Linked DNA regions of Macaca fascicularis. The protein of the gene in region 2 purifies or fractionates together with the protein of the main gene of each other region. This does not show direct contact. Links are inferred from orthologs where the notes say so. Each region holds a gene or a part of one and is shown on either strand. Other genes may lie near its edges.

What was found.
Region 1: the proteins of TRERF1 (region 2) and DNTTIP1 purify together in Homo sapiens (affinity purification with mass spectrometry; 3 studies listed by BioGRID and IntAct, with this or other methods). This does not show direct contact. The link is inferred for Macaca fascicularis from reciprocal best matches to the Homo sapiens genes TRERF1 and DNTTIP1.

Annotation. Positions count from the first base shown.
Region 1 is NC_088384.1:101,821,746-101,826,341, reverse strand, and holds the start of DNTTIP1 (deoxynucleotidyltransferase terminal-interacting protein 1), read right to left. Parts: upstream 2,946-4,596; 5' UTR 2,878-2,945; coding exon 2,773-2,877; intron 2,200-2,772; coding exon 2,129-2,199; intron 964-2,128; coding exon 867-963; intron 1-866. UniProt on the Homo sapiens protein: Increases DNTT terminal deoxynucleotidyltransferase activity (in vitro). Also acts as a transcriptional regulator, binding to the consensus sequence 5'-GNTGCATG-3' following an AT-tract.
Region 2 is NC_088378.1:129,309,116-129,312,928, reverse strand, and holds part of TRERF1 (transcriptional-regulating factor 1), read right to left. Parts: intron 2,957-3,813; coding exon 2,709-2,956; intron 1-2,708.

The DNA.
Region 1 (4,596 bases), on a different chromosome or scaffold from region 2:
TGAGCCTTCTGAGTAGCTGGGACTACAGGCACGCACTACCATGCCTGGCTAATAAATTTTTTTTTTTTTTTTGTAGTAGAGATGAGGTCCCACTATGTTGCCCAGGCTGGTCTCAAACTCCTGGCCTCAAGTGATTCTGCCTCGGCCTCCCAAAGTGCTGGGGTTGCAGGTGTGAGCCATTGTGCATGGCCCCAATAATGGTGATATTATTAAACAACTAATAGAAGTACTTACTGGACACTTGTTATGTCCTAAGTGCAGTGCTCAGCACAGTACATTTAAGTCATTTCATCCTTACAAGAAGTCAGCAAAAAAAACAAAAACAAAAACGTGACAGTGAGTGACAAGGGCAGATTTAAAAAAAAAAAAAGATATCTGAATTACCCTCAAGGAAGGGATAAAATTCTTGGGGGATTAAAAATTTGAAAGCTGGCCGGGCGCGCTGGCTCACACCTATAATCTCAGCACTTTGGGAGGCCAAGGTGGGCGGGCAGATCACTTGAGGTCAGGAGTTTGAGACCAGCCTGGTCAACAGTGAAACCCTGTCTCTACTAAAAATACAAAAATTCGCTGTGTGTGGTGGTGGGCGCTTGTAATCCTGGCTACTAGGGAGGCTGAGGCATGAGAATCGCTGGAACCTGGGAAGTGGAGGTTGCACTGAATCGATATCATGCCACTGCACTCCAGCCTGGGTGACAGAGTGAGACTCTGTCTCAAAAACACAAAACAAAACAAACAAAAAAACAAAAAAACAAAAGGAAAACTTTAGATATCTGTGTGTAGGAAAGAGACGGACTGGTGATGCAAGGAAGGACTGGGCTCCTCATGAGTCTTTCCCGTTATTTTTTATCCTGTGTCCCTCTCACCTTCATGTACTTGTTGAAGACAGTCTGGATCTCCTCATTGATGCTAGGCTGCAGGACAGCTCGGAGGAGATCCATAGAGATGGCAGGATCTGTGAAACTGCATTCAGGAGGGAGACAGGGTGAGGGGGCATGTCCGAAACATATTCTTTCTCACCTTGCCCAGTCAATTATGGACATAGAATTCTTTAACAATACTAGACAACTTTTACTGAAAACTAGCTACATGCTCAGATTTTGTTCAAATCACAAAGGCATGACTTTATTTCATTCTCATAACTCTATGAAGTGGGTATTATTTTCAAAGTTTTTTTTTTTTGGACGGAGTCTCACTCTGTTGCCCAGGCTGGAATGCAGTGGTGTGGTTTTGGCTCACTGCAACCTCCGCCTCCTGCGTTCAAGCAATTTTCCTGCCTCAGCCTCCCGAGTAGCTGGGATTACAGGTGTGCACCACCACACCCAGCTAATTTTTGTATTTTTAGTAGAGACCGGGTTTCTCCTTGGTCAGGCTGGTCTCAAACTCCCAACCTCAGGTGATCTGCCCGCCTCAGATCCCCAAAGTGCTGGGATTACAGGCGTGAGCCACTGCACCCGGCCATCTTTTTGTATTTTTAGTAGAGACAGGGTTTCTCCATGTTGGTCAGGCTGTTCTCAAAGTCCTGACCTCAGGTGATCCGCCCACCTCAGACTCCCAAAGTGCTGGGATTACAGGCGTGAGCCACTGCGCCCGGCCCAAAGTGTTTTTATGAAATATAATACTTATTATACAGAAAAGTCTATACACTTTAATGAGTAATTACAGTGAACATCCAATTCACCACTACCAGCATCCCAAAGGCCCACCTTGTGCTCTCTCCCTTCCCTGAGATGGATACTATTAATCCGTCTTTATAGTTGAGAAAACAGGGGCTCATCAGAGGCTGCATGAGAACACAGTTGTCTGACTCCAGAGCCCGTGCTCTTAAACTCCATGCTAACTGACCTCTTAAGAGCCCTCAATCACAGAGCCAGTGAATGTGAGGGGTCTTAGGTATTTTTTATTCCCCAACCCATCTCCTGTGCCCTTCCCCATTTCGTGAGTTCAGAGAAGGAAGTGACTTGACTAGCTCAAGATCACACAGAGTTACAGGATCGGAGTCTCCTCTTTCTCAGTCCTGTGCTCTTTCTACAGGCTGTAGATCTCCATAGTCTTGTGCACTGGGGATCCCAAAGCTGCCATGCAAGCCAGTGGCTGGGATACAAGTCCCATGCAGGGCCAGCCTTACCTTGTTGTCATCTGTGAGCGGCGGCCCCTCCGCTGCACCTGCCGGTGCTTTATCATTATGTTCCAAGGGTTCTGTGGGGACCAACGGAACAAATGTCACTGCGGCCTGTGACACTGGCGTGGGGTGGAGGTGGAGGGTGGGTATGAAGTTAAACCTAAACATTCCTGCTTCTCAGATCCGTCACCATCTCTCCCGCCTTGGGGTATCGGGGGAGGACAACAGTTGGAAGGCCCCCTCCACAAAAGAGGAACTGAGGAAGTTTCCTGCCTTAAAAGTCCCGACCCTGCCTTCTGGCACGGCAGGAGGAAGGGAAGCAGTGTTTACCGAGGGTCAACTCTGTGTCAGGTGATGTCCTGGGCGCTGTACCCGCCTTTATCTTCCCATCCCACAACAACTTTTATGAGACAGGTACTAATCATCTCCATTTTATAGAAGATGATCTGGGGACTCAGGGGGTCGACAGAGCTGGCCCACGTCACCTAGCTAGGAGGGCGGCACCAGAATTTGAATCCAGGTCGTCGGGCTGCGAAAACGCCAACCCCCTCTGCAGCTGCAGCCGCCGCGTTCTCGCCCGCGGGCCAGGGTCCCGGGAGCCCCGAGGCCCTGCCCGGCCCGAGCCCAGACCTCACCGGGGGCGCCCTCACCGTGAGAACCAGCTGCCCCGCTGCGCCCGCATCCCCCAGCTCCAAGCCGCCCCGCTCGGCCCCGCTGGGTCCCCGCGGCTGCTCGGCGTCGCCAGTGGCTCCCATGGCGCCCCAGGCCACCACAACTTCGCCGGACTCTGCCACCGGCCGGAAAGTGGCGCCGTGACGTCACTGAGGCGCGCTGCTCGTCCGCCCGGAAGCGCGACGCAGGAGCTGCGGGGTTACCATGGGAACCGAACCGCCGCGCCTCGCCCGGGACAGTTACACTTAGACGCCTTGTGGTTGGAGGTCGTTGGGGCTTCCTCTCGGGAGGGCTGCCCCTCGATTGTGGAGTGTGGGTGTTCAGTGGCGGTTCAGTCAAGGGACGTTTCCCGCTGGGCCAAGGCCTGTGGATGACTGCGGGGTAGGAGGAGGGGAGCTGGTTTCTGTAGGCTGGGGTTGGGGAGCAGAGGGAAGTGTTTGGTGCAGCGACGCCTGCAGTTCAGTGTTTGAAGACTAGATTTTAATATGCTGTGCCAGGGGCGGTGGCTCATGCCTGTAATCCCAGCACTTTGGGAGGCCGAGGCGGGAGGATCACTTGCAATCAGGAGTTCGAGACCAGCCTGGCCAACATGGCGAAACCCCGTCTCTACTAAAAATACAAAAATTAGCCGGGCCTGATGTTGGGCGCCTGTAATCCCAGCTACTCAGGAGGCTGAGGCAGGAGAATCTCTTGAACCCAGGAGGCGGAGGTTGCAGTGGGCCAAGATCACGCCACTGCACTCCAGCCTGGGCGACAGAGGGAGACTGTCTCAAAAAAACAAAAAACAAAAAGCAAAAAAAACAGGCGTATTAGGCACATGTTAGGTCGTCATCAAATGTTAATTATGCCGAGATTGTGCAGTGAGCCGAGATCGCGCCACTGCACTCCAGCCTGGAGGACAGAGGGAGACTCTGTCCCCCCCCCCCCAAAAAAAAAAAAACCATATTAGGCACATGTTAGGCCATCAACAAATGTTAATTATCTCCATGAGCCAACATCAATCTTATAACAATAAGGGCAACTTCCTGGCTCCAAACTTTTTCATCCTATTAGGGAGGTTTTAACCTTGTACCTGCCCATAGGACTAAGCAGTGCCAGTGGACACCATTGGGTATCACAGCTGACCAAAGGCATAAAGAGGACAGATAAAGAAAAAAAGAAATAGAGGAAAAAGAAATAAAGGTGGTATATGTAGGCAGACTATCTGAGTCATACATAGCAACTGTTCTCTTGAGTTCTGCCAGCTAGCCTTCATACAGTCCAAGAATGGCCTGTGTGGGCTAGAGGGACAAAGATGTAGGTGTTTGGTGCTTTTTCATTAGTTCTTAACAAACTCAACTACTGCCTTTCTGTAGGTTTTTGATAGTTTCTCCCCCCGCCTTTTTTTTTGAGACAGAGTCTCACTCTGTTACCCAAACTGGAGTGCAGTGGCATGATCTCCACTCACTGTAACCTCTGCTTCCTGGGTTTAAGCTATTCTCCTGCCTCAGCCTCCCAAGTAGCTGGGATTACAGGCATGTGCCACCACGCCTAGCTGATTTTTGTATTTTTAGTAGATACAGGGTTTTGCCATGTTGGCCAGGCTGGTCTCGAACTCCTGACCTCAGGTGATCTGCCCACCTTGGCCTGTTTGATAGTTTCTGAGTGGTCTGTTCCATTCTGTCTTTTCTGGGTTGCTAGGATGAACAATTTTGTTATGCTTGGTTATGTTATTAGCTTTGGCTATTTTCTTAAGCAGTGTCATGAGTCCCTCCCTCTGTCATTTGGGCTAAAGCCAGGTCCTTCCAATGCCCTTTAGGGCA
Region 2 (3,813 bases):
AAAGCTGAGCAGTTATGATAAAGACAGTAAACGGCCCACAAAGCCTCAAATATTAACTATCTGGACCTTTTTCAGAAGAAGTGTGTCCAGGAGTGAGACTGTTTATGGACAGGGCGTGGCATAATACTCTTTAGTCACTCCTGAGCTCATGAAGGAAAAAAAAAAAAAATCACAAAACACCTGGTTTCTAAGGCCTGAGTCCAACAGGGCTGATAAATCACAATTCTACCTGGACACACTGAAAATGGTTCCATGTAACAAACATAATTTCAGCAGCTCTAAGAGGTATTTTGTGAACATTTGCCTAATGTTATTCTGAGTTAGGAAAAGCCACATAAACCATTTGTATTTTCCAGAAAGTCATAACTGGATTTCTGGTGGAAAAAAGTTCCCCAGCAACCTAAGACTCCAAAAAACCATTTAATAGATGCCACTGAGACATGGCCGGGAAACACGAAATGCTGACTTTTGTTAGTTAAATCATCCTCTGTCTCCACCTGGTGGAATGTAGCGTTGTAGCCTGTTTGAGCCTAATGAGTGGGAGGTGCTGGCTCCTCTCGGGAAAACTGGTAAGACCCTGATACCCTGATGCTGCCACTCCAGGACAAATAAGTAAGAGATCACTGAGAGTCAGCTGAGGGTGGTTCCATCATTATTTCTATTAAAAAAGCCTTAAGATCAATCCAGGGGCCCATTTCTCCCATGGTGCACCAGTATGTGGTGGGTGGTGATGTGAAAATGACATCATGGCCAGCTTGGAAGGACGGCAGGGTGTGGAGGAGACCCACACTGAATCCCACCTCTCCCATCCCTGTGCTTCACAGGAGGAAGGGATCTGCTAGTTCCAGTTCACTTTGGTGGGTGCTGCCAAGCTGGGCTTAATCAGAGGCAGCATGGCATAGAGCCAGGAGCACAAGGCCAGGCCTGCCCGCCTGATTTGAATCCCCACTAGGCTGCTCGCTGTGAACTGCAACAGGGGCTTCACCTTTCTGTGCCTCAGTTTCTGCCTGTAAAAAAAGAAGCTCCTAAAAGTACCCGCCTCACAGGGCTAAAGATTAATCAGTACATGTGCTATGGGTTGAATGTGTCCCCCAAACAGCACACGTTGAAAACTGAATCCCTAATGCAGCTGTGTTGGAAGGTGTGGCCTAATGGGAGGCGTTTCAGTGATGAGGGCCTCACCCTCATGAGTGGATTCATGCCGATTATTATAGGGTATGAGGCTGCAAGTTCAACCTTTTGCTCTCTCTCCCCTCTCTTTGCCCTTCCACAATGGGATGACTTAGCAAGAAGGCCCTTGCTGGATGCAGGCCCCTTGACCTTCAACTTCCCAGCCTCCAGAACTATAAGAAATAAATTTCTTTTCTTTATAAATTATCCAGTCAGTGATATTCTGTTGTAGCAACACAAAACAGACTAAAACATGTAAAAAATCCTTTAAAACAGTGCCAGGCACATAGTGAGTACCTGATAAACAGCAGTTACTATTAAGTTGCCTGCTCTACTCTATGAGGTCCCACCTGGCCTTGCTTATGTAACTGTGGATGTTTTCCTGGTAGAGTTTCAGAAACCACCTGGGCAGCATCTCTCCCAGGTAACACTCCTCTTCATGCTTGAGGCACTAGGAATTATGGGAAGAGGAACTCAGCAAGGCTCCTAAAGGATGTAATTCGTAACAATGTAGTACCCTTCCAGTCAGGTGGACTTATTGAGAAGTACACTGGAATTCTCTACTGGAGGCTGTGGGAGGGAATCACCCATCTTACTACCAATGGCATTTTCTACCTAAAGCAAAAAACAAAGTAAACCAAAAGGACAGAGCAGTGGTCAGGAGCCCAGGTCTGCATTCGGACAAAACTGGGTTCAAATCTCAGTTCTGCTCTTTACTGGCAGTGTGACTTAGGGCAAGTCATTTTACCTAATTTTTAAACTCTTATTTGTAAAACAAGTATAAAAAAACAGTATCTGTATCACATGGAGTTTCTATGTGAGGATTAAATGAGCTCATACACATAAAGCATGTACCAAAATAAGTGCTCAGTAAATGTTAGCTATTATAATTACTATCTCATGTTACTTTAGTTGTTGGTGTTGTTGTTTTTTTAATTATACCTAAAAGGGGAGGATAACAAATATGTTTTATTTCATGTGTCAACTCTGATTAATTGATTGTGCAGCTTGAAGCACGACAATGAAAAGTATTTGAGGCTTTGTCTTAAAGTGATAGCAAAGAGTGTGGTGATTGATTAGTGATGTCTGCCCTAGGCACAGAAGTAAGCGAAGGTGGTAGGAATACCCTGTATGAGCCATCTGTGTTATAGAGAGTTCCTGATTAGGTGTTCTAGAGCCATTCTCAAATCATTCAGTGGGGATGCAAACAGAGTAATGCTAGTGAACATAGATTGGGTGTGAAGGGAAGGAGTGGGAACCAGAGTCCCGCCTGCCATTCCTGGGAAAGAGGGAAGTTTTGTAACTTAGAGGTTCACTCTCTGAAGATATCCATCCTTACAAGGCTCTAAGGTAACAGAATGGCCATATTCTGAGTCTGCGACAAGGCCTACATACCCATCCCAAAGATGGTATGAAGAAGAATTTTGAATTCTAAGTTCTTTTTTCTGATTGAAGAAACCTTAGGCCATCCTGGCCCAGTCCCCATACAGCAACTATCCTCATGAACTCAGATCCAGTCCCTGGTCCCCTGCACCTACTTGCCACACTCCTTGCAGGGGAAGATGGTGGTGGGGTCTGTCTCGCCGCTGGTGGTGCTGTGAGAGGGTGAGCTCTTCACCGAACAGTACCCACTCTGGGTGCCACCAGGCTTCTGCTTCCCAGAGGGGACGGCACCTCGGGCCTTGGTCACCTGGTTGGTGCCCCCGTGGATGCGGGCATGGCCATTCAGTGCCTGTCGGGAGCTGAACACCTGGGGAAGAAAGGGAGTGACATGACATCTACAGTCCTGAAAAGGAAATTAGGGTTATTAGTTACTCAGTGGTAAACATGGAATACTTGAAACTGTCTTAATGACAGGGCACAAGGGTTTTATATAAGCACACTTTGGGCATATGCTACAAAAGGTAAAGATCAAATACCACAACCACAAATGCTGTGCCAATCAAAACCTCATCACTGCTACAATCAGAAGAGAAGAAGCGATGTGGCACAGGATGAACAACAAAGCTACTGTCTAGAAGTCAAGACGTCAGGGGTTTGGACCCAGCTCTACTGTAACTAAAGCTGCTGGGCGATTTCCCTTCTTTATACTTTATTTTTTTCCATCTGAAAAATGAGGGGGCTGGACCAGCTTTCAAATTTTTTTAAAGCCGATAATTACCTCCTTCTCTCCCTCCCATTTTTCTTCCTTCCTTCCTCTTTTCCTCCCTCCTTTTTTTTTTTTTTTTTTTTAAGAAATCAGGTCTTACTCAAAAAACTGAGGCTCAAGTTAAAAGCAGAGGTGCTCTGGCTAGAATGGAGACAGCGCCCCAGAATTGGGCCTGTTTGCTCAGCTCTATCTACCCCCAGGAAGCCCTAGTACCCTAAGGAACCCAGTTTGAAAGACAATGATTAGGTTTTCTGACATATTCTACGTTATATATAGTCTTAATCAGTAGCCCATTGTTGAATCAATATTTAAGACCCCCAAATTTTAATACAGAATGATAAAAACAGGAAGGATCTGGGCAGAATTTTAAGATACTGCCATAAAGCTGGGTTTCTTAACATCAGCACTACTATCATTTTGGGTTGGATAATTATTTGGTGTGATGGGTGGGGGGTTCTGTTGTACAGGATGTTTAGCAACATCTTTGGTCAGAC